Linked DNA regions of Arabidopsis thaliana. The protein of the gene in region 1 interacts with the protein of each later gene in a biochemical or structural test. Each region holds a gene or a part of one and is shown on either strand. Other genes may lie near its edges. The genes, in order: TOR and AT5G38640.

What was found.
Region 2: of the proteins of TOR (region 1) and AT5G38640, one has a biochemical effect on the other in vitro, tested with the Arabidopsis thaliana proteins (one large-scale study listed by BioGRID).

The regions. Positions count from the first base shown.
Region 1 is NC_003070.9:18,526,797-18,542,181, forward strand, and holds the start of TOR (target of rapamycin), read right to left. Parts: upstream 13,200-15,385; 5' UTR 12,824-13,199; coding exon 12,659-12,823; intron 12,436-12,658; coding exon 12,097-12,435; intron 12,019-12,096; coding exon 11,944-12,018; intron 11,767-11,943; coding exon 11,594-11,766; intron 11,226-11,593; coding exon 11,127-11,225; intron 10,811-11,126; coding exon 10,651-10,810; intron 10,583-10,650; coding exon 10,439-10,582; intron 10,302-10,438; coding exon 10,132-10,301; intron 10,053-10,131; coding exon 9,848-10,052; intron 9,775-9,847; coding exon 9,586-9,774; intron 9,379-9,585; coding exon 9,226-9,378; intron 8,758-9,225; coding exon 8,636-8,757; intron 8,548-8,635; coding exon 8,448-8,547; intron 8,374-8,447; coding exon 8,278-8,373; intron 7,977-8,277; coding exon 7,846-7,976; intron 7,138-7,845; coding exon 7,035-7,137; intron 6,960-7,034; coding exon 6,777-6,959; intron 6,703-6,776; coding exon 6,610-6,702; intron 6,511-6,609; coding exon 6,475-6,510; intron 6,372-6,474; and 41 more. UniProt on the Arabidopsis thaliana protein: Essential cell growth regulator that controls development from early embryo to seed production. Controls plant growth in environmental stress conditions. Acts through the phosphorylation of downstream effectors that are recruited by the binding partner RAPTOR.
Region 2 is NC_003076.8:15,461,288-15,477,087, reverse strand, and holds AT5G38640 (NagB/RpiA/CoA transferase-like superfamily protein), read left to right. Parts: upstream 1-6,363; 5' UTR 6,364-6,413; coding exon 6,414-6,900; intron 6,901-7,003; coding exon 7,004-7,123; intron 7,124-7,275; coding exon 7,276-7,637; intron 7,638-7,800; coding exon 7,801-8,545; intron 8,546-8,638; coding exon 8,639-8,735; intron 8,736-8,827; coding exon 8,828-8,882; intron 8,883-8,902; exon of another isoform or gene 8,903-9,005; coding exon 9,006-9,068; 3' UTR 9,069-9,409; downstream 9,410-15,800. Other genes in the region: AT5G38670 (Galactose oxidase/kelch repeat superfamily protein), read right to left, coding at 217-906, 1,117-1,302; AT5G38650 (Proteasome maturation factor UMP1), read left to right, coding at 4,389-4,514, 4,714-4,814, 5,233-5,330, 5,780-5,880; APE1 (acclimation of photosynthesis to environment), read left to right, coding at 1,591-1,869, 2,147-2,193, 2,265-2,367, 2,554-2,640, 2,967-3,050, 3,162-3,215, 3,366-3,446, 3,591-3,632 and 5 more; CYB-1 (cytochrome B561-1), read right to left, coding at 9,577-9,873, 9,970-10,169, 10,526-10,574, 10,801-10,947; AT5G38620 (MADS-box transcription factor family protein), read left to right, coding at 12,181-13,230; AT5G38610 (Plant invertase/pectin methylesterase inhibitor superfamily protein), read left to right, coding at 15,644-15,800.

The DNA.
Region 1 (15,385 bases):
TCCCAGTTTGAGATTTACACGTGCAAGAAGTGGAACATTTGCGCCCTTGCTAGATACCATGCTAGCCAGTATGTCAGATTGAGAATGTGGCACACTTGAGAGCTCTCTCGTTAGAATCTAGAAACAATTAAAATTTAGATCGAGGGAAGCTATAACATGGCCGTTCAAGCAAGATATGGGAAAATGTGAAAAAGAGAATAAGCCCAGACAATGCAAGTAGCAACTGGTATATGACATACCTGCAGCTTGGTAAATGCCTCTTTGCGCTTACGTTCCTCTCCAAGTGACCATTGGTATTTTAAGTATCCAAGCATCACTTGTGGAGGTCCGTGATATTGCATGTTTTCTGGTGATACTTCTGGATCAAACTGCAAAATAAGGGCCCAAGTTAGACATAACAGAATAAAGATACACTCTTGGCAGAGAAAATTCAACAATCAAAAGGTAAAAGTTCAAGACCGGTAAGAGCTTGAGTAGAGTAGATTTCGCCTGACTGATCCTCCCACTCTTTCGACAAAGCGAGGCAAACTTGAGCCAAGTTTCCACATCTTCTGTAGGAGGTAGCACAAGTGCCCGGACAGCCAAAAGTGCTTGCCACACCTGAGTAGTATTGGGAATGCAAAGTATTAAAAAGCACACTATTATACAAAAAACCTGAGATCACTCAATAAAATTTTAATGAGTTTTCTTATTTGGATTTGTTTTTTTATCTACGTAGGATACAAGCTCTGACTAACAGTTTGGTAAGAAGCTACTTTACTTTATAAATCAACAGACGGAAACTAAATAAAGCAAACCTAATATGGAAAAAATCAATTTGATCCTAGCGAAGATTCATTTAATAAAGTCACCATACTGCAATATTTGATGCTTAAAATACCAAATGCCTTGTCATTCACTAGTGGCTCAACTAACATGATAACATTAAAAATAATATACCTCCACATTACGCTTAGATCCCTGAATCCGCTGAGTCCACATATTACGAATTAGAGCTCTCCGTTCTTCGGCAATAGTATTTCCCACAGGCAGCGTATAATATTCAATTACCTAGTATCGATACAACAGGGGAAAAAAATAGAAAGATTAATCATGTATATGGAGGGGTGTTAGGGAGGGTGTCCAGGAGAAGGGATCTTGGATAATTGAGATCTAACCTCCTCTAGTTCTGACAGCTGCTGAACACGAACCATATTGCTGTACGCACGCTCATAGCTCTCCAAAACCTGTAGAAGGCGCAAATAGACAATTACAAGTTTTTCAGTATGCGTGAGCAACTAAGAAGGTAACATGGTGATTACATGATGCTTCTATTGAAAGGAACCAACGATAGCATGCACAAAATGTTATTTAAATAGAGCTAAATATGTAACTAAGATGTCAGGAATGTATAATCCTACTTCCAACACCACAAGGCGTACTCAAATAGTTTCAAGAACATAATGGAAAAGGCTGAGACCAGTTACAAATATCTTTGCTGATATACATCTGTTCCCTTTATTCACAACAGATGATTCATAGATATTTTTCACAAAAGTTTATAATGAAAATACTACCAGAAATGAAACCTACCAGCGCTGCAAGTTCTGTGGCAAGACATTTTCTAGCTCTTTCCACATATTCGCGTGCCTCGTCGTACTAAAAAGGAAAGAAAAATATCCACAGGCACACATACGCAGAAATTAGTGTCTGCAAATAGATTATAAGTAAGCCTGATAAGATTTATAGTACGAAAATATAGGTCCAAGTGTACCTTTGCCCTTCGAACTAACAGAACAGCCCTGAAGAATGTGCCATTACTGCTCCCATCGCCACTAGAAACCGGGCTTGCTAAACCCCGAAGCTTTGTTTCATCACCATCATCTAGCCGAGACACATATTCGGCCATTTGATCCCACTCTCCCATGTTCCATGCAGCTTGTGCAGCCTAGTATGGTTGCAAAAAGACATTATGTAACCATGTAGCTATATCACCGAATGTAGCATAAGTAGAAGTTACCAACCATTGGTGCCATTTCCAGACGCGCAGATGGCTCAGCAGGACTCCAGTACTCTTTGCAGAGATTGTTGAGCTCTTCCCATCGTGCAAGTGCAGCAAGACATCTCATTTGTCCTACAACGTGGTAAATAAGCAATAGAATCAGGCCATTTCATGAAAAGAAAAGAGAAGCATCATATGAATTTTAGACTGGAAAAAAATGCGTTGATCTGTTGTTCTGCTAACTTGTAAGAATGTTATGAACCCACAGTTCTCTATGAACTACTAACAGAATACCGACAAAAAAATGCCAACAGAACTTAGAAAAAAACATTATCGAAGAAAAAAACCCACTAAATCCTCCCAATATTAGTCTTGGTTACCACAAACCTAATGTGGCTTCTAATACAAGATGAGGATTTGTTGTTTGAGATGCTTTCAAAGTGTACGCCTTGAGTGCATCGTCCCAGCGCTGCAGCTTCTCATACCTAGAAACAAACACTGTTAGTGCTTTTCCACTGATTAGGATCAAAGAATGGAACCACACACAATCTTGTGACGGAATGCCTATCAAACAGAACTGAAAATAAGTGCATCATGATTCAGAAAAGCCATGTTACCATGATTCTTTTAATTGCACATCAAGATGTTGTTGAGCATAGGTTAGTATACCGACAGCAGCCTATACAAAGAATTCCAACCAATCAATAATAACAAATATCAAAGATGGTCGAAATAGGATACAAAATACAGTGTACCTCATGCTGGTGTAACTGATTATTTATGTGTATAAGAGCCTCGACAACAGCAACTGGGTTGGCATCCATCCTCTTGGATCGTGGACCTTCAAATTCCATCTCTTTATAATGCAGAGCTTTGGCAAAAACACGGCACTACAAAGTTGGAATATTGCACATTACCAAGAAAATCAGATGAATTCTTGATACGCAAATGAAAAAAGTACCAAATCTAATTTAACTAGCAAATACATAACGCAAACCTTTTCAGCAAGAGCCCCCAGAAGACGAATATCAATGGGAAGAGGCTTCTCATCATGTTCCATAAACTCTGCCTAAGAAGAGAAATAATAAAATCAAGCACAAGTGACAGGACCAAGCAACAGGATCACACATAAAGGTAGGTTGATATTGATTCTGAACTTATGATTGTTTATCCAACCTAAACGTAATATAGATTAAACGAAGTATAAGCAGATATTTGGATTATAGTGTTAATATTAGATTAAATAAAAATTACACGTCATGTTTCCATGTACACTCACAGATCGTTTTGTTGATGGTTTTAGCAACAAAAAACGTGTTTTACATAGAAAGATTAACAGGTGCAACCGCTAAAGAAATGGTGACCTAAGAAGTTTTTGTTTCCAGTCTTGGAAAATGTAGTCAACTCATAACAATCGCCTAAGCTAAAACACAAGCACTCAATAAGCACAAGCATAGCCACAGGAAACAAATTTGCTGTTCGTTATAGCCAGTGACTCAATCAAAGGTCTTTATCATGTTTAAGTTTTCTTGTAATGTAACAACGAACATACCAAATTGAGTAGTGTAGCTAAAATTTCTGGAGGGATATTTGGAGATGAAAAGGCCATTTCCAAGCTCCTAACTAACTGCTTTTGGCTAGACTCGTTTAGCTGTGCCCAGCAACTGACAAAGCCAGCAGCAAACAACTCTCTCCCGACAAATGGCTGCAAAACACAATCATTAAAATGCACCCTTTTGAGAGAGGAAAAGAAAGAGCATAGATGAAACACCTGCAACTGAGCAAGTTTTGCACAAGTTCTTAATGCTGGAGAGGGAGACTCCTTAAGTAATTCAATACTAAAATGTCTCATCCATTCCTCCCAATCTTCTTTGGTGCTGCGTTGAGAAGCTTCTCCAGCTGTCCGTAGTCTACCATCATTAACCTGTTCAGCAGATCATCAAAGCCATGAGTGAAAGTTTTAGCTCTTTCAAAACTAAGAAAGAACCAAATAAACTTTACTAGAGGATCATGTTAAATCAAGCCCATATATAGTTTTATTTGTTTTTAAAAGCTGAATGTCCATGGAGAAGAGGAAATATAGAGGACATATTTACAAACTCATTGAAGCAAATGGCTCAGGACCAAGACTAAGCTTCAATGAATGAACGTTGCTATAGATAAACCTACCCATCATTTAGATAGGAAAAAGAAAGAAAAAAAGATCCGCCTTATTCAGCTAAGGAACCCTACAATACACCCCATGTTTGCCTCAATGAAGTCATACTAATAATGACTATGCCGACCAGAAATTTTGTACAATGTTAGAGTAAAATCATGATTTTAACTTGAAACTTGATAACAAAATTTTCACACATTAAGAATCTATATGTGATTATATACGACACAGAAAAGAGTACCTGATGGTTTCTGTCAGTTCCTTCTTCGAAAGGATCGATCTCATTCTCAATTACAGGATCCCTGATAACCTCAACTGGCAGTCGCCTACTTAATTGTTGGGTTGCAGTTGTAGCTACAATCAATGGTTCACGTCTCCGCCAGCGAGCATGAATTTCCTCAAATTCTTTATGCTGAAAAAATGTTGTACAGTGAGATTTTACAGACAGAAGTTCACAAATGACATTTATAATACATGACAGATAAATTTTTGCTGCTATTTTTATTTAAAAGATAGTAAAATGCAAGACCCGCAATCGATGCTTCAATAAAAGCTTGTGAATTGATTCAATGAATATGGTGAAGTCCTCTCCAAGTGCATGAGCCAAACAGCATAGTGCATCGACAGCATCTTTCCGCAACTCATCATTCTTCCTGCGATTACAGAAGATATACCCCATAAGAATATTTATACGTACGAAACTGAAATCACGAGTAAGGTTTAGAAAAACGTGAAATGAAAATCCACTAGAAAACAATTGGGTCCCATCAATAATGGCAGATAAAATCCCATGATATTAAGAAATGTAACTAACATCTGCGGAGTTCTAATAACAAATACATGTGGCCAGAAAAAATTGTAACTAAGCAATACAAACAACTTATGGAAAACAGATTTGTAACAGTAACAATGACGGATTGAAAGTTAATGAGATAATAATAATTCCATCCTTTTTGATAATGCATTGTCAACCATTTAAGAGAAAACCAGATAGTGACACAATGCCTAAGTTTTGAAGAAGTATTGTAAGAAAACCCTTAGGAAAAAGTAACCAATATACTGTTTTTCAGATAGTGACAATCAGTATAACTCACCCATCTAATACTAGCTTCAAGTGATGCACGAGAGCGGAGATATGACCAGTAACCTGAGGATATATACGGATAATTAAAAGTATTACAAGAAGCTTAATATGGAATTTTTTCTGGATCAGCAAAGGGAAAAAAAAAATCAAAATAAATAACCAAAGCTCCTAACCTGAACACACGGGATTACTCTTGTCAAAGTTTTGATGGCATCGCGTCTTATAGCTACAGGAGCATCTACTTTAAACAATCGAATAAGTGCCGGAAGGAGTAAATGCATGTGCTCATCAAGAGTTCCTGCACATAAGGACTCTAAGGGTCAACCATCAGAGTGAAATCTGGCCATGGTGAGAAAATGGAAACTACAGGAGTAAACAATCTGACTATTCAAAGAACCTATATACCGAAAAAAAATTGGATTTAATAGATAAGAAACAAATATGCATATAATAACGAAACTACTTGTATCATCTTACACTACACAATCTAATAATGTGGAACCTCTTTACATTCTTGTAAAAGAACTGCATACGTTAATTACTAGAACTCGCATACCCAAGTAATATAAAATGACTATGAGGATGTCAAAACAAGATAAGTATTACTGACCGCCAAACACTTCGAGTGTGTGGAGAATATCAGGAACATAGGTGTAATCATTAAACCGCTCGGCGTCACCTAATACTTGGATGAAACATGGAAGGATGACTGGAAGATAAGTTCTGAATTCATCATTAAGTGCCAAGCAAAGATGTTCCAGTAGATGCAGAACCTGATTATCAGTAAGAGAGGCGAAGTACTCCCCATAAGATATCTGTCCTTAATCAATAAGAAACATAGCATACTCTAGGCAGCATACAACTTACCGGAAGACCACGTGATGGGCGTATGGGACCGGGCAAGGTGAAGGATGACCATAGTTCAGAGACTAATGAAAGCAGCTCTGGCAGATACTTGCGTATGTGCTGTACACAGATAACATAAGCTATGAGTTTACACAAAGTCGGTCGTATTTTGACCATAACTGAAAATATTAAGGTGGATATACCTGGCGAACAATGGAAACAAGAGTCCCAAGACCCCACGTAATGAAGTCCTTCAGGTTCTCATCAGATGTTCGAACAGTGTGAAAAAGCTCAGGTAAAACCTTCAAATTCAGAGGTGGAACCAACCCAACAAATTACCACAACGTAAAACAGAGAGAGCATTTATCGAAAAGCTGCCGGAGATACAATATTATTTACACCTACCTTCGGCAAGTAAGGCACGCATCCCAATCCCATTGACTAACCTCGCAAAAACAAAGTAGTGATAAAGTTGTAACCTCCTCATTGCAGTTCCAACACAAGTTTATTTTAAAAAACAGTCAAGATGGTTTTAGTTACCTTGAAAATGATCATCAGAGATCTAACAACCCTTTTGTGGTAACTAAGAAGTGATGCATCTCTAAGAATTCGCATAAGCGAGTTGATAGCAACCTATAACAATAAGGAAAGTAATTGAGCACAATTCAGACTACAAATGAAATATATTCACACAAATTAAGAACTACCGTTGAGTAATAATCCTCAGATGTAGCAAATGACGGCCGGAGTTCGACAGGTAACTCATCAATTGATGGAATAGGTTGACCAGAATCACCAGTGCCGCGAGGAACTTCACCATGTGATCCTGATAAACTTTGTTGGTTACGTTTATGCACATGAGGATCCAAAGCGCCCATAATTCCAAGAACCTGTAGATATAACCACGTTTATCACAAAAATATCTTCTAGAATAGTCTAGAGTAAAACAATTCTCTAGAAACTACCTTGAGCACTTCTCGTCTGGTAGACCACACTAAGTCACCCTTCAGCAATTTCAAGAGTAACCCAAGCAACAATGGGTATTCCTTGTATGGAGTCACAACATACCTACGTTCATAATGAAATTAGAGCCGTAAATAACATGCAGGGAGGATTGTAAACTTCTGGAACTCCCTTCATTTTGTACTAGTTATGTGCACAATAATTAGCACATGTCCCAAGCTACTAAACAGTAACATGCAAGTTGATCACCGCACTGTCTACAAATGTCTACAACTTCATAAACACCAGTGATACAGTTGATTAAATCTAGGCAGCATAATATCCTAGGTATTGGTAAATCAATCCTTTCGCACGACAAACAGAGAATACAACTCATGACAAGTCCGGACACAGAAAGGCAATATTCTTTCTCCGGAATAATGAGCCATCTCAGGAGAGACGGAAAAAAAACCATCACAAAGATCTACCGCAGATAGAAGAACTAGCTAGGGATAACAATATTGTCATTTCATATAGAATTTTCTCACTTTTAGTAGGTTAAAGGATAAACATAACACATATGTATACATTAACACATAAACAGCCTAAGGATAGCTCAGGCTTCTACCTAGCTAATAAGAAGAGATGGAGGCCCCGTTTGTGTCAAAAAATTCACTTAGAATCCAGTATTTTCATCTAGTCCAACCAGGCTTTCGCCAATCAAGATAGTAGCATTGTCTTAGTTTACAAGAAAATTAGCATGTTCAAAATTGCCTAGTAGCATTATCATATAAAACAAGAAGAAAGTCGTAAAAGAAGGTCAATATCTCATACCCTGTACTTTGAACAACTTGACCAAGAGTAGAAACAGCCACCTCACGTTTTGCTACAGCAGCTCCATCCATTAAAGCTTCAACAATTAAAGGCATCAGCTCCGGAATATATTGTCTCATTGCCAAGCCACCCTGAGCAAGCAACGCAAAAGAAAACCAGGAAGGGAATATCTTAGCCAAACACAATAAATAACAGGACAGGAAAGGAAATAAAAGTACCAACATTCTGTTAACTTAGAGACAACAAAAAATACAATATTAGATGCCGGCCAGGGCATTGAAATTTGAAATACGCTTAGCCAACACAGACTTAGAACACAGATAGAAATAGTCAAAAATCAGACTGCAACTTTAACGCGCAGCAAAAACGCAGTTATGTTTGAATCGACACTTAATATAGAATCTAAAACTTGCCAATTATATTTCAACTTACCACTCTTGCAAGATCCCCAACAGTTACGAGAACTCCAGTGACAATATTATTGTTAGCATTCACTCCAGTTCCTTCACTAAGTCTCGCAACAAGTGCCTAGAAAACAAGAGTTACAACCCCGTGAACAACAATAATAGCCATACTATCTAAGAAATGAAAAGAAATTAAACCTTTTGGACAGGGGCTACGTATGGAAGAATGAGCCGTTCACAATTTCGAACTAAACAACCAAGGAGCTTTGCACTCTCTTCCCTGCACTTGTTATCTGCACTGCTGACATTACAATTGAAGTCAATGCAACAGATACATAATCATAGGAAATGAATCTTCCCATATGAACTAAAAAATTTGTAGTTACCTCAGCTCAAGATAGGTCAACAACTGTATAAGATGGCGACGAAGTGCTGGAAGTACGTATGCTGGATTTTTTTCCGATAACCTTCCAGCAACTGAGATGGCATATTCTCGAACATCAAGGTCCTGTTAAACAGAGATATTGTAATATATGAATTGAAATGGTTCCATTGACTAGGCCAGATACTGTAGCCAGGTGGAGTGAAAGTGTGAAACATAAGCCAAACATTCTATCAAGTTAACAGGGTATCACATGATGCATCCACCAACAAAAGGCATTCATTCCATCCACAAATCATCCAATTAAGTTATCTCAGCTGCACTTTTCCAGTACAACTTAATAAGTAACACTGTTTTGTGACACAATAGAAGCTAATTCATAGACTAAAAGCCCAGCTACGTCTTGGTATCCAAATTTTGATATTAGGGGGAGTAATTAAATACCAACTTCATGAACCCATGAAATTGAATCTCAAAGAGCAATACAATTACAATAATTCACCCAAGAGAGACAAATAAAAGATCGGTAACAAATTAGGACTGCAGTATGACATCTAAGCTGCTATTTTATTCAAACAAATAACACAATCATACCTCATCATTTAAGGAAGCAAAAATGGCAGTCAAACTATCAGCCTGTGCTAGATAATCATCGAAACATTGGTTGCCAAATAAAGCAACGAATATAGATTTGCGAACAGTTACATCAGCATCTGCAACGGCTGTCCTGAGAAGCTTTTCCACAATCTGCAGAACCCAAACATCATTTCTCAGCAAGCAGAAAATTGGAACCGCCACTGGTATTGCAATTATAAATGCCATCACGAAGCATGTTTAACATACTTAAGTTCAGATTTGGAAAATAATAAAAAGAAACCTTTTGTAATGAGAAACAGTGAAATTAAAAGACATAATAAGAAAAAAATGTAATGGGCTTTCAGTATGATATAAAACCTCTTCCACAAGGCGCCTGCGTCTCCCCCCTGCTCGTGTTGACCTGCTCGAGCCAAATTGTGTGATGCCAGAAAGAGAATTTGCAATTAGTCTGCAACAACACAAAGCAGCATCTTTTCTTGTGGCTGCATCCTCATCATCCAAATAAACAACAACTGACTCCCGAGCAAATTCAAGAAGATCATGTCCCTGCCAGAAATCAGAAGCTCAAAGACAGAAATTTCATATTCTTTAGAAAATGTTATCCGCAAAGAGCGCCAACCTTGAAATTGAAACGAGCAAGAGTCTGCAGGGCTAGTTGAACTTGAGCTGAACAACTAGGGTCAGAAGACTGTGGTGCCATGCCCACTGTACTACCTCGGACAATGGTAACAGGAGGCTTTGCTTGAGAATAATGGGATTTTGAAAGAACCAACGAAATGCAATCTAGAAGCCGATCTTGTACTGTTGGCAGCAAAGAAGGAATGCTGAGATACAAAGAATTGTCAGCATTAAACGTATACACATCAATGTATGTAATAACAAACTTCTTTCGTTCAACTTTACCTGATGGTTATCTGGTCAAGAGCGTCAACAAGTGTGGAAGAGAGACTAGATGAAAACATAACATCTAAAAGATCTCGAACATGAGTTTCCACTGTGGATCCCATTGCCTTTGCGATGTTACCAACACAAGCCACAGCTTCAAGCAAAGGTCTGCCTTTACGTGGAGCAATCTACAGGGACAACATAGTCGAACAAAGCCACTTGTCTAGTTCAGTTTTCAAAACTAAAACCCAATATAATACTTTGACACAAAAGTAGTAAAACGTAATTACAAAATAAATAAATAAATAAATAAAATTTGACCCACCGCATCCCGCAGATGAGACATAATTGTCGGCAAATAATGGATAAGCTCACCATCCAAAGCACCAGCCATTTCCCCAAGGGCGATGAACCCACTGGCTCTTTCAGCCGGTATTCTTAACACAGTAAGAATATGATTCATGCATATCTGCAAGAAAGTAATTCGTGTCACGTTTCCAGAAATTTTTTGGTTTTAAGAATCTCTCAGTCACTTACCGTTAAATAGTTTGTCACAAACCGGTCACGGAGAAAGTGAGCAATGCGAGGCAGTAACGAGGTGATGCTAAGGCGAACAAGGCGATCACGATGTTCAAGGTATCTGAGGACAATTTCGGCAACTTCTCTATACCTAGACATCATGAACTCACCTGTATTCCTGCAAACGAACTCTAGCATTAAGCTGTAAACTCTAACACCCAATATGCCATGAAATCAATCTGCTTATAACAGAAAACAACGTAATTTTCGTCGTCAAGAGTCTTTTGTTCAGGTATACACTGAGAGTGGAGGAATATACATGAATTGCCTACTTTTTTAATGATGTAAACTACAATACGAAGACAAACTAACAAAACAACCCGAGCATCATGGGGACAAACAAGTTGTTCTACGGAAATATTCCAGAATCAAACTTGAGTGTCTGACTAAAAGAAAGGGATGCTTTCAAAATAGATAACCACTTCTGCATTTACCTCAACAGCTCCCCCACGGCAAGTAAAGAACCATGAATACTGTGAACCGGAGCATTTCTGCCCAACCCATCCTGTGTAGCTTCAAACATTCGATAGTACCTGTAAAAGCCAAATTGAGAGAAGATCAGTTAATAAAGATGGAAACCCCTATTGATAATTTGAAACATTGCATTGGCAATGATATATATAAATGCAGTAGAAAGTCTGCAAAACGTATCACCATGGGAAGAATATATATTCGAATATCATCCATTTTGGGGGGGGGGGGGGGACCACAGCATAAAAAGCTAATATAAGTTGCATTTACACAATAAAATATACAAAGTAGTACTTAAATGAGGGTGATTGCAAATGAAAGTATTGCAACAACACAAAGAAAAGCCTTGCATCAAAAATATCATACCAAATACATAACCTAAGGAAAACATTTCAGACATTATCATTTTCAAGGATAAGAGAATACTTACCACTGCACTCGCCATCGAGTCTCCCTTTTCTCAATAACACGAAGGCATGCACGCAAAGCTTCAACAGCTCGTTCTCGCACTTGCAACTGGGGGTCCCTAAGTGCAACCCAGATAGCATCCACAAATTCAGGGACATGAACGTTAAAGACAGTAGAAGCATTTTCGGCCATCTCCTGCAATGTTGCAAGAAAACATCCATATCCGTATTAACTTAGGATTGGAAAGTTATCATCACTATCATTTTTCAAACATCTATAATCCAATTTATTAGTTCAGAAGTTTCTTTCTGAGTAACTAAAAGAAAAAATGATCTGCTTATCTAAAGGATCGGGCAGCTGAAATCAGGATACCTTTAATATTAAAACGGCGGCGAAACGACGATATTCCACCCTGTCTACGCGAAGCCAATCAAAAGCTGTTTTCATCTGTGAAAACGAGATCAAGAATTGAGCAACTATGAGCCGAGACAGTGATAGGAAGGGGAGGGAAACAAACAATCTTACCTGAAACTCCACTTCATCAGAAGTCATTGCTCCACCTGCCCGAGCAAGGTGCCCCAAAACTCTACTAGCAAGCACCAAGATTTCAGGATCACGCTTCAACTCGAACACAGTCCTCATGTAACCCGCAAATCTAGAAACCTTAGTAGCATTCTCACCAAATCCAATCTCCGTCAACTCATCAATGGCTCTGAGTGCACCCATGTTTTCCGCCACATCAGTGCTCTCAATTAAATTAGCAATCCTGTCATATAATTGCTCCATGAACCTAGAGGAAGCTTCACCACTAAGATCACGAACTGCTTCCTCTACGTGTTTCCTAAACGCTAAAGGAGCTCCCTCCTAATACAACAACCAAAAATCATAAACAAAGTCGCATACTTGATGGAAACCAACAACAATAGATCAAAACCCACAAATTGCCAGACCTATAAGAACTAAAACTTCGAATTTTCCATTAACCAGAACAGAGAGATTCCGTCAGATAAGCAATAAAAGCAAAAGGGTTATATGGGTTTCTACTAAAGCATAAAAAGGGAGAATACTTTACAATGTTCTTCATTACCTTAGGATTACCACGGCTGCAAAGGTCAGCGATGACACGATTCAAAGTGTCAAAGCTTCCGCCACCAGAAGCGGTGGCTGAGGGACCACAAAAGCGGTGCGATTGCGAAGGGGAAGCCATGGATGCAGGCCGTCCAGCCACAAAAGATTGCGACGAGGTAGACATCGCTGCAGGGCCAGTCCAGCCACAAAAATCTTCCAAAAACCCTAAATCTGACCCCTTTTTGGTTCAACAACACTTGGGCAGAGAGAGAGTATGTACAGAGGAAGATAGAAGAATCTTCAACACATGATGCGTCGAGAACCGAAGATCGCAGAAGAAATCAAGATTTTTTCTCTTATTTTTTTACAAATTCAATTCGCTGAGTGTCTTTTTAGCTTTCTTAGGTTTTGCTTTGTTCTTTCAGAGACCAATTATCTTTGGTAAATAAATTGGAAAACCCGAAAGGTTTTTACTAGGAAAATATGACTTTTTCCTTGGAAAATTGTAAAACTTATGTTTGTCTATCAAAAACTTATAAATACAATATTTTCATTTTTTTTTGTCACTGATTAATTACTTAAAACCCTGAAAGGGTCTTTGTTTGGGCTATGTAATGTTTAGAATGTTTAATATACACTTGTCAAAGAAAAAAAATTACTTGTGAAAAAAAAAATAGTCAAAAACTCATATTTGTTCACTGGACAATAGAATAACTTTTTTTGTCAAGGAATAACTTTGTAGTTTCTTGAATAAGTTTTCTTTTATTGTCATTTCACTTTATTATTATTATTTCCAATTATGCTTTTAAGCAGATAAGGAGTTTTTAAAATGATCATTAAATTGTAGGAAAATAATAAACTATAGTTTTGTTGTAATTAGTAGTCATTACGAACAAAAATAATGGGGAAAATGAAAAAATTCAATTGAATGCATATGGTTAAGTTTGTCAACAAATTAAATAAATAAGAGGAATAATATCTATACAAAAAAATATCGAATATTAGTCAAATTTTGAATAAAAAATGTCAAATAATAGTAGAATTGTAAAATAGTTGTATGGTAATCGATATATCATATATTGAAAAATTGATGAAATGTGAATCATATCATTCAGTTAATTTGAATTGTTTTTCTTTTTTTTGGTATGGAGTGGATTTGAATTGTTAGATGTGATGAAACTTTGTTTTTCTATTCATAAAAATTCTAAATCATAGAAATCATTATTTATTCTCCAATGGTAAATTTTTGTTTTGCTTGTATGTTAAGTAGTATTCATATTCATATGTATAGGAAAAACTAAAGAAATGGCTCCTCCAAAATATAGTTCGTGTTTCTCCGTTGTTACAACGAAAATAATCACAATGATTGTGTATGACAAAATAAGCATTACATTCGAAAATTAAACGAAGCACATCCAACATAAAATTTCAAAAGAGTTGTGGCTTGTGGGAGGCTATAGCATCGCTTGGTTTCATCGTACACATCAAGGATGGTGAATAGACAGGGTCCAAGTGTTAACGTTGCGCAATCCCATAACGTGACAAGAATGTCGGTGAAAATATTGGTGTTCTTTTCTCTCCAAATTAATAAACTACAACTAAGAGTACTATTTAAAAAAGAGTTAAAATGACACAAAATAACTCAATTTTTTATATCATTAACGCATTATACGTATAGAATTTAAATAATAACATATACATTTCCATATAGGATAAATAACCTCATCAAAAAAAAAGAAGAATTTTATTATTAGTTTAGACTTTTTTGTCAATATTAATTTATTAGCTTCTTAAGTTTTATATTATTAGCAAAGGATAATGATGCCAACTATATACATGCGTGCTCCAACTTTTGGGACCAATTCATCTAACCTAAGTGATAAACAGATAGATAAATTATCCACTTCTAACTATTTTCCATCAGCTTATTTCAAAATTTAAAAGCTAAATCATTTCAAATCAAAAAGGTCTTTGGCTTTTTTTTATCCACTGTTCCATTATTTCTCTCTTCCATTAAAAAAACTGCATTTTACAAGATCTTTCAGTTTTTAGAAGTAATCAAGTATCAGTGCCAAAAAAAGCTACATTAAAATCTTACAAATTACAGTATACGACGTATTCCTATTTTCAATCGTTATCTAAGTAGAAATATATTTAATAAAACGTGTGAAATGTCAATAAAACAACAACAAAATGTACATACATTAAAAAGAATTCAAGACCAGCAAAAATATATATACACGTTACTATTTAATCTCTTGATATGTTTCCTGTATAAAAGAAAAAAATCTACCATATAAACCTCAATAACGATTCCAGAAATTATATCAAAATTGTAAAAGACAAAAACATTTAACTAAAAAAATCATATAAAGGAGTAAAGAAATAAATCTATTTAGAACACTAGAAATTTCAAGGTTAAGAATCAATACATACTTAAACTAAAAAAAAACTTTTATTTACCAAAAAATAAAAAAATAAAATAAAAGAAAGAATAATATTATTTCAATTTACACATCTGGAAATTGACAGGCGATAGTTTGGTTTTTTGGAGTTTTGACCCCACAAAATCTTTCACCTAATTTCCATTTGTTTTTCTCAACAAAAAAATCACAGCTATATTCCAGCCTGTTTAATTCTCATCAATCTTCCATTTTTATAGCTCTTCTCCAAAATCCCTTCTTCTTCCACTCCAATTCTCTCTTAAACCCTAAACTAGTTAGGGTTAGTAGTGTTAAAGTTCCTT
Region 2 (15,800 bases), on another chromosome or scaffold:
GGTATGAAACGATCCTTATAGTTGTGAGATGTGAGTTAGTTTTAAGAATTTATGTATGTATTCTATATTTCTTATTATGATATTGTATATTCAGTTTTTGTAATGTCGGATTTCTTTTATGGTAAAGAATTATGCTTATCAATCAATAAGTGACATAAATTAATTAGAAGTGAAACAAGGGACAAAATCATAGTTTCAAGGCTCGTAACGCATTCATCAAAGAGTAGCAGCAAGAACCTTGACGAATTCATATTGTCTAGGGACTGTAAGCACATGAGCAAACCATTCAACTTTTCCCCATATTTCCAAACTTCCGCGTCTTTCAAGCGCAATCTCCGCACACCAAATCATCTTCTTTCGGCGCCCAGGCAAATAGTCGTCCCACAAAACTGCCATCTTCCCACCATAATCAACCATTCTAAGACAAGCATCAATAGGGAACTTAGGTAATCCTACCATACCCTTCAAGTCTCTCCACTCTCTTTCCTCACTGTGATACCACCATACGGACGTTGAGATATCTCCTTTTACAATAGTGTACCAAACATTCCCTATATTGCGATAACAATCATATAAATACTTATTATGTTCTATGCTTGGTGTAACCAGGTCCCATCTACCTTCCTTGGAATTGTAAGCATCCACACCTTTGTAGCTCACCAGGTGCAATTTTCCGTCAAACCTTACGATTTTGTAGTGAAAGTCGTGTTTTGTCTCGCTGCAAGGGACAGACAAAGGATCCCAAGTTTGTGTATTTGTGTCAAACACTTGGAACGTCATGGAGTCGCCATCTTTGCATCTTCCTGATACATATATCTTTTCATCAAGAACGCAAGCAGTACATGACATTAGCTTCACCCGCAACCTAGGGCCCTCGTGCCACGTGTTAGACGTGCAATACAGAATCTAGACGCTAGAGGAAGGCAATTCATATCCGCCAATGTTGTAGATACTAGAACAAACCGACACAATGCTCGAAGAAGATGACTCAAGAGGAGTATGTGGAAATGGGACTGTAGCCAAAACATACCCACTTGACTTTAGGGTTCCAGTATGTTTACGGAAAAGAGTAAACCACCTCGGTTTCTCATCTTAAGGATTTAACTTTAAGCACACATAGAGACAACTCTCCGTGCGGTCCAAGAGTGATCGGGTCTTGTAAAGCTCCGGTGAAGCTATGAGAGATCGAAAGCTCTTGGAGACGAGGGAGAGAGCCGGATAATACAATCTTGAGACCCGTGCGACGCAGCTCAATATCAAATCATCGGGAAGTGACGGATTAGGGTTCGTTTGCGACTGCATCGTGTACCGCTTCTTCTCCAACTTTGCAGAGAACTTCAAGGATCGGTCTTTATAAAGAAATTTCCAAAACCGGCTCACGTCTTTGCTTAAGGAAAAACCGGTTCAACTTTCCATAGTCAATAGAATCCGAACCGCCAATTGATTTTGATTGTTGACCGGGTTTAGTAGACCGAATTTAGAATAGGTGAACCGTGGCCAGAATTTTGGCGGCCGATACACTTCTTTACCTCAGCCTCACATTACTACTCTCACAAAAGATACACAGAGAGAGAAGAGAAGAGGAAGAAAATGGGATCTATAACGGTAGCTCCGGGAACCACCGTCTTATTCTCCAGTCGGCGGCTAGATCTTTGCGGTCGTCGCCATGAGAATCTATCCGTCGTTTCGTCCTCACAACCGTCTCTGATGCCAAAGCAGAGATGGCTTTATATTCCCGAGACGAGGTTGAAAAGAGAGGTTTTAAAGCTCGATGTCGTCGGAAGAGCTGCTGATTCCACGAGCTCTTCTCCATCAGTAGCTTCCGGTGATAGAACCTTAATTCCTGATGATGAATTCACTTTAGCCAAGGTTTTAAATCCCTAATTAAAGAGTTTCTTCAAATTCATTGTGTTTATATAATTAACTATTCCTGAATCAGTCATTGCCTTGTCCAATTTTGTGAACTGTGTGAGATTTATGGTAAAAGTATAGTGTCTCTCCAAGTAGGTAGATTCGATTATTAGTGGTCTGAAATTGAGAATTAGGAAGGATTTGATGTATGCAACTCATAGTTTATAGGTGGTATTGAATGTGCGTTGGAATAATTTTGGACACTGAAATTTTTTCCATATGTTTTGCATTGCAGATTTCATTTGGTGTTATTGGGCTAGGTCTCGGGGTTTCGCTACTCTCGTGAGTTTTCTCTTGCCTTCTTTGTTGCTATGGGTATATGTGAGGTTTAGCATTATGGATCTGTTTAACAGGTATGGTTTTGGGGCCTATTTTACTATCCTTCCTGGAACTGAGTGGTCTGCTATAATGCTAACATATGGATTTCCCCTTTCTATTATCGGAATGGCTCTTAAGGTATGCTCTTTATGCTCTTTAGTTATCTTTCTCACTATCATGTCCTTGAGAAAGTGGAATGTTTCGGATAACTGTAAAATTACTGAGAAAATTGACTTTTGTATTAGAGTTACTCATTTCTTTCTTTGAGTTTTCGGAATGGTTAATTGTTTTAGTCCCTGAGGATGGGTTTTGCTTCCTTTGCAGTACGCAGAACTCAAACCAGTTCCTTGCTTGAGCTATTCGGATGCGGTGAAGCTTAGAGAAAGCTGTGCTACTCCTATTTTAACGCAGGTACGTAGTGGTTCTGGTTACTCTCGACTGACCGGAGTACCTTCAATCTGATTTTAGTTGTTCTTCAGCTCGTCTTTGTTACATTAATTTCCTAAAACATATTTATGTTTCTGATAAGAGGAAGGGGTGTTAGTAGTTTTCGTCATTAGTATTTCGAAATTCAATCTAAACACTAGCTTGATTTCAGTATCATAGGTTCTTTTGCAGAAAGTCTTGCTCAGTTTAGTTTCCCTATATGACATCACATCGTAGTTTTGTCAGTGCACATAGGATTTTAAATTTACTTCTCGTGAATTGTTAATGTGCCTTCTTCTTTCTTTTATTAGGTTAGAAATGATGTCACGAGATACCGTTATGGAGATGAACAACATTTGGAAGAAGCACTAAAACGAATCTTTCAATATGGGCTGGTAAGCTATTTTGTTGAAACAAAATGAAGCACGAAAACAAAATGAAGCACAACACACGCTTCTTGTACTTCCGCTTTAACCTCTCTTTCTTTCGACTGTTTTGGTCATAAGGGAGGAGGAATCCCGAGACGTAGTGCACCTATCTTACAGCTGATAAGGGAAGAGGTACATTTCTTCACGCGCATGACTTTACATCATATTATTTACATGAATCATCAAAATATATAACTCAATTTTTACTTGCATATGACATGGATATTGACTGGTGAAACTAAACTTAAACGGATCATTTTTGATAACTCATCATGTCTGTAGGTCCTGACCGATGGTCGGTACTGTGTGGTCCTTGTATTTGAGGCCAAAGCTCTGACGTTGTCAGATTTTGAAAAAAGACAGGTAAGAGTTAGATTCATATACTACTAACAAATCAGCTTGGCGCATAAGAAAATAGCTTAAGTAGCGTTGGTTTTATCAAATCTAGTTTTTAAGAAGTAGCAAAACATAAAGCTGGAACTAAGCATAAAAATTTTGTTTTGATAGGCGAAATTCACTTCCTTCTTTGGACCAAACATCACGGCAGAAGTCGGTAAGTAGTGAATCAATTCTCCATTCATGTTTATGAATTTCTTGTTCTCGGTTCTTAAAAAATTATTATTGTTGTTTTGCTTTGAAGGTAAAGGAGAAAGTGAGAATCTCTATGAAGTAAGACTGATTTCCAACCTCTCCACCAACTCTGTATCTTCTACCTCTTGAACATAGACAATCATGTATACGGCGACGTTTTCAGTCAATGTTATTTTGGTCTTGTAAATCAATTCTATATAATTATCCTATGTATAAAAAGTTCATACTATTTACAGAAATGGGAATTGGAACTAGCCTTGTCGAATGGTAATACGGTCGGAAGGGGACAAGCTACGATTGCAACGTGTTCTAGAGTAATTTTGATTTGAGTAAACAAAATACATATACTGTATATTATTCATATCTTGGTGAACAATACAAAATATATTAGTTTGTTTTAAATTACCAAACTAAAGCCTTAAAAAAAGTATCAAATTAAGCACATAAGTTAGAAAAGAAAAATGTGTTGTAAGAAAGAAAAAAGGTTAGGAAAGAAATATGCGACAGAAAAAAGAGTTTTATGGGCTTACAAATAAGAAAAGCCCAAATGGGCCTTGAGTTTGAGCTTTACATAAAATTCATTCTACTAAACTTAAGCAAAATCATTCCTTCTTCTTTCTCTGAAACTTTTGCCTTGCTTGCTTGCCCAGAAAGTCGCCGAGAAAGTTAAAAGTAGAACGGCGGAGGAAAAAAAAACGAAGAGGAAGAGGAGAGATGGAGTCGCAGAAGAAGATAGCTCATGAGATCGGAGGTATGAAGAACGATGCTCTTCGCTTTGGTCTTCACGGCGTTAAGAGCGATATCCTTAGATCTCATCCTCTCGAAACGGCTTACGAATCTGTAATCAATCACTTCACAATCTTTTTTTTTTTTTTTATTGATATTGAGGAATTAGAAAATTAGGCTAATTAAGGAACTTAGGGTGTTGATGAATAAGCTTCGTGTTGATTCAGAAATTTGAGAATTGGGATTTTTTGACGGGGTTTCTGAAATTAGTTTTTTTTTTTCCTTTCTATAAACTTGTTTATTGTGATTTCAGGGGAAGCAATCACAAGAAGAAATGAAGAGGAGAGTGATCACGCATACTTATGGAGCTGCTCTTCCTTTGAAGATGGATCTTGATAGACAAATCCTTTCTCGGTATGGATCTTTAAATCTGTAGCATATGAAATTCTGAATTACACTGATTATTAGGTATGAGAATGTATGAGAATCTTCCTTAGGCTTTATAGAATACTGTTAAGATTGAAATATGGTTTCCTAATGCTAGTAATCTATCTTGATTAGGTCAATTGCTGTTCTGAATTTTGAAATATTGTTAGTACAAATGTGTATATGAATCATCATAATGATTATATCGAAAATTCGGAATCATAATCGTGTAGTGCTACTTAGAATTAGATTTGCAGAACCATAAACGCGTAGTGGATACTCTTAAATTAGTAGCAATATGTAGATTGAATTCAGAACCATAAACGCATAGAGCAGCCTCTTCTTCATTGAATATTTATTGGTGAATTGAATATTTATTGTATATCTTTTTATGTGGAGTATTCAGGTTTCAGAGACCTCCTGGACCAATTCCTTCATCAATGCTTGGCCTTGAAGTCTACACAGGAGCTCTAGATAATTTTGGTTTTGAGGATTACTTGAATGGTAATTGTTTTACACCAGTTTTCCCATTTGGTTGTGCATTAGAGTTTTCTATTCCTACAATCTTTGAGCATTTCTCAAAACATGACCGTCACATACTGCTTGCATTGTGTAACCAAATCATCCTCATCCTTGCATAGAGTTTAACTCTTTGTTTAGCATATAATAGAAAAGTGTCTCAACTTGTTTATTTCGTTTCGCTTACTAGTCTCTACTTTGTAGATTGTTCCACTCCAAAACACCAATAGACAGTGACAAACCTTTGTTCCAGTTAGACTGTCACAAATCATCGAGCATTGCTCAAAAATTGACTGTCACATACTACTTACTTACATTGTGTAACCAAAGTTGAACTTTTGGTTCAGTATATAAGAGAAAAATGTTTAAACTTTTTAATTCTCTTAGTTTCACAATTTATATTGTTCTGACGATGAATGGTGTATAATCTACAGATCCTCGCGAATCCGAGACGCTGAAACCAGTAGACTTTCACCACGGGATGGAAGTTCGGCTTGGTCTCTCCAAAGGCCCAGCTTCCCCAAGTTTCATGTAGTCACCACCATCAAAGTATTTCCTTCGTCAGGTCTCATATGCTTTTTAATCTGAGTAAGATCATGTTATGAATTTCCACCAGCCCTAAAAGAATCTACTTGTTGTTTGATCTCTTCTCTATACTGTGTCTCCTTTGCTCTGAACATGATAAAACATATGAACTGTGTTTCAGTTCTTATCTCTCTCAGTTCACAATTTGTTGGACTTGCTTAGTTATTTAAATAAGATTATGCTCCTATTTCATTATTATGTTACTGACACCAAAACCTTGGATACTAGATTCTATTAGAATAAATAAATTGCATATGGATTAATACTCTAAACAAAACAAAAACAAAAGAACAAAGTAAGATTGTTTTAGTGACTCGGACTGGACTGTTAACATCGGATAAATCTGAAAAAGTAAATAAATAAAAATAAAAACCCTATTCTACGTTTTATTCGTCTGGGAAAACAAAAATTAAATTCGATCCCCAAAATTAATAATTCCGTCTTCACCGAGAAAAAATCCAGAGCTTCTTCTCCTCCGACGCGATGGAGTCTCGTCGGAACCCTCGCGCCGTAGTAGATCCAAAGGTCCGACAAGTCGGTTTCTTCACATCATCTCAACCCGATTCATCAACTCAACAACAACAACCCGACCCGATCGCTGCTACCTCTGCTTCTTCTTCTTCTTCCACCATTTCTCCTTCCGGTAACTCACTCTCCCCCGTCATGATTCCTCCTCCTCGTCTCAATTCCTCTGATACTTTCCCTCTTCGAGTCGCTGTCGCTGGTGCTGCTGCGTCAGCCGTGTCTCCTTCTTCGTTTTCTTACTCAAGTCGCCGTGATTTCCCTGATGGATCAACGACGGCGTCTCCTGGACGCCATTCCAGGGGTAGTTTCGTAAAATCATCTGTTCCTGTTGCTTCTTCGCTGCCTGGTATTGGGATGGATTCTATGGCTGCTGCTAAATCTAGTAGTGTTCCTGCTAGTGGTTTAACCACTGTCTCCGTCGTTACCATGCCTCCTGGACTTTCTGGTACTCTCACTTTTGATCTTGTGGAATCATAATTTGATTGATTTTGAAATTTGTTCTTTAGGATATATGAGGCTAATGTATTCACAATGTTATATAATTGCAGAGAAGGCTAGTGGAATGGAGGTGCAGAGTGACCAGAAGAAGCCATTGAAAGAGAAAACCACTAAAGCTGAGAGACGAGCTATTCAAGAAGCTCAAAGAGCTGCTAAAGCTGCTGCAAAAGGTGCATTTTTGATTTAAACCAATGTGTGGTTTTATCGCAATGAATGATTCGTCAGCTTAGTACAGAGATTTGATATGCTGGTTGCTCTGTTGTGTTATCGTTGTGTATTTTGCAATATCTTAATCAGTCTGTGTAATACTGTGCTATATCAGCTGATGGTGGGAAGGTGGCACCAGTGTCCTCAGCCTCGGTGGCTTCAACAAGTGTTAAAGCTGCTAAACCAGCGAAGGCTACATCTCAGAAGAATGATGTTGCTGTTGCTACTGGAGCAGCTGAGAAGAAGGGAGGTCCATCTGAAAAAGATAGAAAGAAAGATGCTCCTCATCCCCGCATGCAGTATGATGATGAGAGTAGAGTCGTGAAGGCTAAAAGACGTGCTGTTGTAAAACAGACCGAGGCTAAAAACAGGGTTGAGCTATTTAGGCATTTGCCTCAGTATGAGCATGGCACTCAACTTCCTGATCTCGAGACTAAGTTCTTCCAACTTGACCCTATGCATCCTGCTGTGTACAAGGTATTTGTTTTCTCTTGAATTTATCTGGTTGGTGCTTCTAATAAACTATTAATAATCTCTTTGTTAAAACAAGGAACCGTTTGTTCTAATGAGTGGTTTATATTGCTTCATTAAGATGAATGTTACTTGTATACTGAATGAGTATCAGTTGTTGTGGTATCAGGTTGGTCTTCAATATCTTTCTGGGGATATCTCTGGTGGCAATGCCAGGTGTATTGCGATGCTCCAAGCATTCCAAGAGGTTGTCAAAGATTATTCAACACCGCCTGAGAAGTCTCTTAACAGGGACATGACTGCGAAAATAAGTAGCTACGTCTCCTTCCTCATAGAATGCCGTCCGCTTTCGATTAGCATGGGAAACGCAATACGATTTGTGAAAAACAGGATTGCAAAGCTGCCTATAACACTTTCTGAATCTGAAGCAAAAGCTACTCTTCAGTCAGATATTGAACGGTTCATTAACGAGAAGATCATAGTGGCAGATACGGTGATAGTCAAACATGCTGTTACTAAAATAAGAGACGGTGATGTCCTTCTGACCTACGGATCTCCCACTGCTGTTGAGATGGTAATATTACATGCACATGAACTCAGGAAAAAGTTTCGAGTCTTGGTGGTGGATTCTCGTCCAAAGCTTGAAGGGCAGCTACTGCTTCGTAGATTGATCAAACGAGGCATTAACTGTACATACACTCATATAAATGCCATTTCATATATCATGCATGAAGTCACCAAAGTGTTTTTGGGCGCCTCGTCAGTTTTGTCTAACGGAACAGTTTATTCAAGGGTTGGGACTGCTTGTGTTGCAATGGTTGCAAATGCATTCCGTGTTCCTGTGCTTGTATGTTGCGAAGCCTACAAGTTCCATGAGAGGGTGCAATTGGATTCAATATGTTCCAATGAGCTTGGTATGCAATATCTTCTCTCGATATCAGTATCATCTTATACCGCCTTTGATTTTGTTTTACCTTACATTGGGTTTCTTGCTTCTTTACCTTTAGGTGATCCAAATGCTATTTCAGAAGTTCATGGAAGAGAAGACATAAACTATTTAGATGGCTTGACCAACAACGCAAACCTGCAGTTTTTGAACTTGATGTAAGCTTGTGTTTATCGGAGAAGTGAAACTATGTTCTGTTAATACTAATCCTCTCTGCCACTAAACTCGTTTGTGATTTTTCTAATGACAGGTATGATGCTACACCTTCAGATTACATTTCCATGATAATCACAGATTATGGCATGGTAAGATTAACCATCGTCTCTTAAAAACATAGCATTAGGTTCCTGAAGTCTCAGACCTATAAAATACAGTTTCTCCACTTATTCAGAATCTCAAACCATTGAACGCAATGTTTTCGTTTTCAGGTACCTCCCACAAGTGTGCCTGTCATCGTGAGAGAATATCAGAAAGAACACTTGCTTGTCTAAGCAAAGCTCATTTTTGCGAAAGCTCTTCTTCTCCAACCCCCTCCTCTAGCTCAGGCTCTTCTCATCACAACCCAGATAGAATAACTACCGGCACTGCCTCCCCTCATCCGCTTCTTTTCCTGAGTACCGGGTTCATTTTTTTTGGCCTTGACTTGTTTTTAGAAACTTTTGACTCTGTGAAGAGTGCGATTCATCATCCGCCTCTCCGGGAAGATTTTATCGATATCGGTGATGTTTTTCTTTGTCTGTGATGTATGAGTGAGGCTTCTCTTACTCTCCCTTCTCATGGAGGTTGATACAAATCTTTCTCAGATTCTATGCCAATTTTTGTTGGGTTCAGTCTTCAACATTGGTTACACGTGTTCTCATGCTTTACTTGTATTACAGTCATATATGCACTGCTCGTTAAATCAGTTCAAAAAGACTCAATTACATCACAAATTGTCTCTTAAATAAACAATGTTTCGATAGGTCGAAATGTTGAAAGAGATCTTTTCGAGGGTTTACTCTATTGTGTGAGAACTTGATCCTTGCCACTGACCGGAGTAACCACACCGAGTATCACGAAACCGCCAAGAATAAGGATTAGAACGCCCATTGTGTTGACTAACATTGCCTCTGTGGAATACCGAGTTATCACTTGATTCACTTGCAGGAACGTCACCTTCTCAAGTATCCCTGTGGTTGCAGTCACCAACGCCAATGCATATATGGAAATCCCTAAGAACACATGCCATGGCATCAAACTGGCTCTGCTGTTTCTTGAACCACCCGGGTACCAATAAGTCACAAACCCTGCAGCCCACTGTTTGTAACAATAGATTTGAGTGAGTTCTTGATATTTATTCTTACTGAGTAATGGAGATTGTTATTTTAAAACAAGTCAGAACAGAGAGTGTACCTGGAATGCAAAGAGAAAGAGGCAAGCAAGGCCGAGCCACGAATGGAGACTGTAGAAATTTTCGATCCCTTTGTCAATATGGAACTTGAGAGCAGCCCACACTCCGATCAGGCTTAGAATAAATGCTGTGAGTTGTAGTGTAAGATGAACCAGTTTTTTCAAGTTCTTTGTACCTTGAACTGACTTATATGCTAACATAGCTGCATAAGTTGAAGGTACCGTTCATGTTAGAAACGAAAACATGTCCATGGTCTCTTTACCGAATTAACAATGCCGTAACTAAAAACAAAAAAAACTAATCCTATGAGTCCTAAACCTCTTGACATAAAATTTCAATGTACTCAAATGTTAAAAAGGGCAATTCAACAGTTCAGTCTCTTTGACAAATGAAGTATGCGGAAATCGAACATGAAAACCGATACAACGAATACTAAAACCTCTTGACATTAGAATAGTCGCCAGACGGTAATATACTACAAATTTGAAGTCTAAAATATGAAGTTAAGACGGTAATATACTACAAACTCTTAACATGTGAAGGAGATTGTTTGCTTACCTTCTCCATTGAAGAGTATGAGTCCAATCACCATCATCACTGGATGAACCTAAAAACAAAGACATTTGACATCATCAGATATATATCTACCAATGATGACATTATACATCCAAATATGAGTCTCAGATCATAGCTTGTGATCACACAGAAAAGTAAAATCCAAATTTCAATATCTCAACAACACAATCAAGAAATATGAATCTCAGATACAGCAACAAGAACATTTCATCCAATCCATTTCACATGTGAGTCAAAACAACAATCGAGAGAATTACATTAAAGATGTGATCTTTGTTATCAGAAGAAAGAGCTAAGCCTCCTCTGTAATGAACAGTCCATGTCAAAACCAAAGCCGCGATGATGAAACCCAAAACTCTCACTACCATGAAGATCGGAAATCCACCCAGCACCGGAACCGCCATACTAAGCCCAGAAAATGCGAGTCTTTTATACGGCGATCAAAATCAGGATGAATTAGGGCTAGGGTTTTAGTTTTTAGTCGAATTTTGGGGATTTCTGAATCACCCCCTGTGTTTTAGATCGGCAATTACTCGACTTTGAGTTTGAGGTCAACCAGAGTGATTTGCCAGAAATATTATTTTTATAAGATTTTTTAATTATTATTAGTAATTTGATTTAAGGGTAAAAAAATGGAGCTTTGTGTCACTCACAAAACTGATTAGAGTAAAGATCTTTTGTTTATGTCTACTTTGCCTATTTTTATTTTTATTTTGAGAGAATTACAATGACACACACCCATAGATTTTTATTTCAGAGGCAAAACAGTATTGATTAATATTGAATAGTAAAAAAGATGAAATTCTCCAAAAGTATCTCTTTGTTATGAAAAATAAAGAAAGTGTGGCAAAGTGTAAGTCTTCCGGTCGTTAACAATGTTTTCTTCTGCTACCATGTAAGCTTTGTTAACTTCATAATCACATTTTAAGAGTGATACTACATTGTTGATCTTGTGATTAGAAAGAATAAACACGATAATGTGAAGAACCAACTATATATTTGTTTGTGTCTCTCATAATAATCTGACAATTTTTTTTTTGTAGAATCTAAGAAAATAATTATAAAACAAAATAACTAAAAATATCGCTAAATAAATATGAATGATAAGAAAATAACTAAAAATTATCAAAATAAAAATAAATAAATTATCTAACGTTCTAATTAAATACTACACTAATAAATAAATACTAAATTTGTTTATAAAATTAATAGTAATATAAATAATTTGGAGGCAAAATTTAGTTATTTTATAAATTTTGTTTTTAAACTATTAAAAAGAGTCTTAGGTAATTCTTTTTTTGTTTTTTTTTGTTTTTGTGTGGCGAAGGTCCATAGAGCATAGTTGAAATTATATATCTATTCTTGTCCATCTTTGAATAATTTATCATCAATAATGTTATGCTTGTACATAAGCAAATAAGAAAGGATGAAAAAAAAAAAAAAAAGGGGATTCTGGTGGATGGTTAGGCTTAGCCCATATTACGGTCCATGTGGTTTAATCGGTTAAGGAGGATGATATGGGGTTTCGATATTTCCTTTTTCATATGAGATTCGATAGTCCCTTATATATATGAGACTGAGAGATAGAAGAAGCCTTCACTTCAATTATCTGAAAATTGAGAAAAAAATCAATCAGAATGGTGAAAGGCACGAAGAGAAAGATTGCGATTGAGACGATACAGAAGAGAGATTCCCTTAGGGTTACCTGCACCAAACGCCGTAAAGGTCTCTATAGCAAAGCCTCTCAGCTTTGTCTTCTCTCCGACGCACAAATCGCTATCTTAGCGACTCCTCCTTCTTCTGAATCCGACGTCTCTTTCTACTCTTTCGGTCACTCCTCTGTTGATGCCGTTGTCTCTGCTTTTCTCTCCGGAAAACGTCCTGTTTCGGCTCCGAAGGATAACAAAGAGACGAGGGAGGACGTTGGTATCTGTTTGACTCGCAAGAATCTAGGGTTAGGGTTTTGGTGGAATGACGAGAGCCTTGTGAGATCGGAGAATCCTCAAGAGATTAGTGAAGCGATCGGTTCCATGTGGACTCTGTTGAGTAATCTCAAGGAGTTGCGTGCGGATGAAGCTTGCGTTAACGATCACAAGGACTTGAAGAAGAATGAGAAGAGCGATGTTCACGGAACTCAAGATCAAACCCTAATTTTTCAGTCCGCTTCTGCAGTTTGTTGCATCCCTGAAAATCTCAACGATATTACTCAAGAGCCAAATCAAACCCTAGATATTCAGTCCAGTAGTTCTGCAATCTGTTGCGTCCCTGATAAATCACCTGAAATTTTCAATGAAATCACTGAAGAACAAGATCAGATTCTCTCGATTTGTGAAACTTTTTGTGTTACGGATAATAACAACAACAACAACAACAACGCTGCTTTACCTGAAGTTAACCTATATTACAATCAAGACATGGCTATTGATCAACTCATTGACTTCAACACCCCTTTTGAAAGCTCGATAGATGATTGGTTTTCGGACAACACTACTCATCAGGAGACGACTAGTGCAAGTATTTTGAACGATGTTGGTGTTGATGATCAAGTCTCGGTGGATACAAATCCGTTTTCTTATTTTCAAAGCCTTGAAGATGCAGATTTGGTGTTTCAGAGATGTTTGGATGGAGATAATCTACGATTCTCTGATTGTTTCAATGACTTTGCAAACACTATTGCAGCAGTTTGAAGATAATCTCTCTGCAGTTTTCAAATCAACTTCTCTTTGTTATCTGTATGTATTGATTCTATTAGAGATTTATTTGTTCTAGCAATGTAATGAATGATCTGGTTTGACCTCGATCAGTTTTCCATATATGTATGAGGGAAATTGATCGAACTCAAACTGGTTCTCTGCTTCATCAGTTTGGTTTAATGATAATATTTGTGTTCTGTTTCTATGTTTTGTATTTGTAGTTTTAAGTCCAACAAACTCATGTCTTTTTATAAATCTTAATCGGATAAAAAAAAAGGAAATGTCTTTAATTTATGGCAAAATTGGTAGCTAACCAATGAGTATGATAAGAGAATCAGGTGAAATTTCGATTATATACATAGAGTTAACCAACTGGTATGCAATTGTATCATTTACACATTCTACAAAGAAATTGCCACTGAATAAACTTCAGGTTCCTCTGTTTCATTCTTAAAGTCTCAGAGTGGGGACCAAGATCAACATGATACAAAGTGATCAAAGCTAGATTATGTTCATTCATGCATGTCCTGCATACATTATGTTCATTCATGCATGTCCTGCATACTCCGATGCATGCATTGCAATGGTAGAGAAATAGAATGCCCTTCACTTTCCTCTTTTTAAATGCCTTTCAATCGAACATAGTCATCACTATTCAAGTAACACATTATCCAATGATATACGCTCTTTTTCTATAACTTAGATTCAAATGCACACCAATAAAATTGATCATATGACATATACAGCTTAAACAAATATTTTGTTTTAGGACCTAGCTAGATTAGCTTGTTAGGACCGCAAACAACAAATATACAGCTTAAACAAATAATTTGTTCTCTTACGACCGAGAAAGAGAGGACATGACCACGACCTTTCATAGAGTCATCTCCAGCAGTTTCGACGAGACCATAAGATTGAGATTCACATTACTTGCGTCACTATCGACAAGTATACAATTGAGAGACGGTAAAAAATAATTATACTTTATTTTTTTTCATCTATGGATACTATGGCATTATTTATGCTCTATAAAATGGTCTACGGTGACACAAGTAATATTAACTACTGCCGAGCAACTATGTCATTGTCAACAATGCAAACAGACCATGACTTGTTCATTGTGAAGCAAGTCATCCATAACTATCCTCAATGTATGACCTAACGAGGAAACTATATGAGAGAAATAGTAATTAAGTAGAAGATGCACAAATAAATGAAAGAATGAGAAATGTGGGAAGATACTTTTTTGGATGTATTCAGTATTTTTATATAATATCTCAATTAAAATACACATCTTTGCTGATCTTCAAACTCGAATACATGATACCTTATAAACTTGGGAAAAATGTCAATTTATTAATATAATTTTTTTTTTTGAGTAACTATGAAATGTATGTATTATAGAAGTAAACAAACTATTTTTTAAATCTTTCTATTACAAAATTTTGGTATATTTGTGGTGAACCAAAATATTTGTTACAAAAATTGATTATTTTTTCGTACAAAATGATTCCAACAACATTAACACTGGAGGAACAAAAGATATAAACAATGTAGTTTTTCCTTTAAATTTGAAGTTCATTTCAATATAAGTTTGAACTAAAATAACTAAATAATTTAAGAAAGTATCCCATTTAATTTAACAGTTAACATATTGCCTAAGTAAAGTAGATTCTTGAGGAGCTTGTCGATTTTGTTGTAAAATCCGTTACAAAATGAAAATCAAATTGTTCACAGTTAGTTGGAATTTTTTTTGGTTCACAGTCAATAATAAATGGAGAGTTATAGTATATATTTGGATCACTATTACTGAATTAGAAATAGAGTACTGATTGGATAATTTTAATTATAATTTCGTATTAAAATGAGACATTTACATTTGTCTAAATCGGAACTAAAGAAATACTCCAAAATAAAATCAAACATTTACATTTGTCTAAATTGGCGTATTAAGTTTATACGTATATTTGAAATGGAGAAAAATGTAAACGTAAAGAACGGTACTATCTTCCAATTGAAACTTAACTAACCTAGAATAAAATTTGAAGCAAATTTTTCACTTTGAATTTGCAATCAATTTTCAAAAGTAACTGTCCATGCAATAATGACATTTGACAACTTCTTTAATTTTCTTCTAAATTGCATTTAAGTATTTAACGCAGAATGTTCTCATAATACCGAACTAATTATATTGCTTGAGGAATACATTTGTATTAGAGTAGAAGCAAGTGAAAACCCATTGTTGATGACACTTTACTCAACCATCTTTTTTTTTTTTGAACAACAACTCAACCATCTTAAATAGTCAAATATTCCCACAACGCAAACGACGTCGTACGTATACATTCATCTCTCTATATATCAACCAAACAAAAGAATTAAGAAGAATCTCATAACTAGAAAAACAATGAAGCTCTCTCAAGTCTTCTACATTATCTTCTTATTCTTCCTTGTCTCACAAGTAAAGTCAACGTCCGATATGATCGACCAAACCTGCAAATCTTGCGCAGCCAAATCCACGATCTTCGATTACAACTTCTGTGTCTCCTCTCTCAACAACTCTC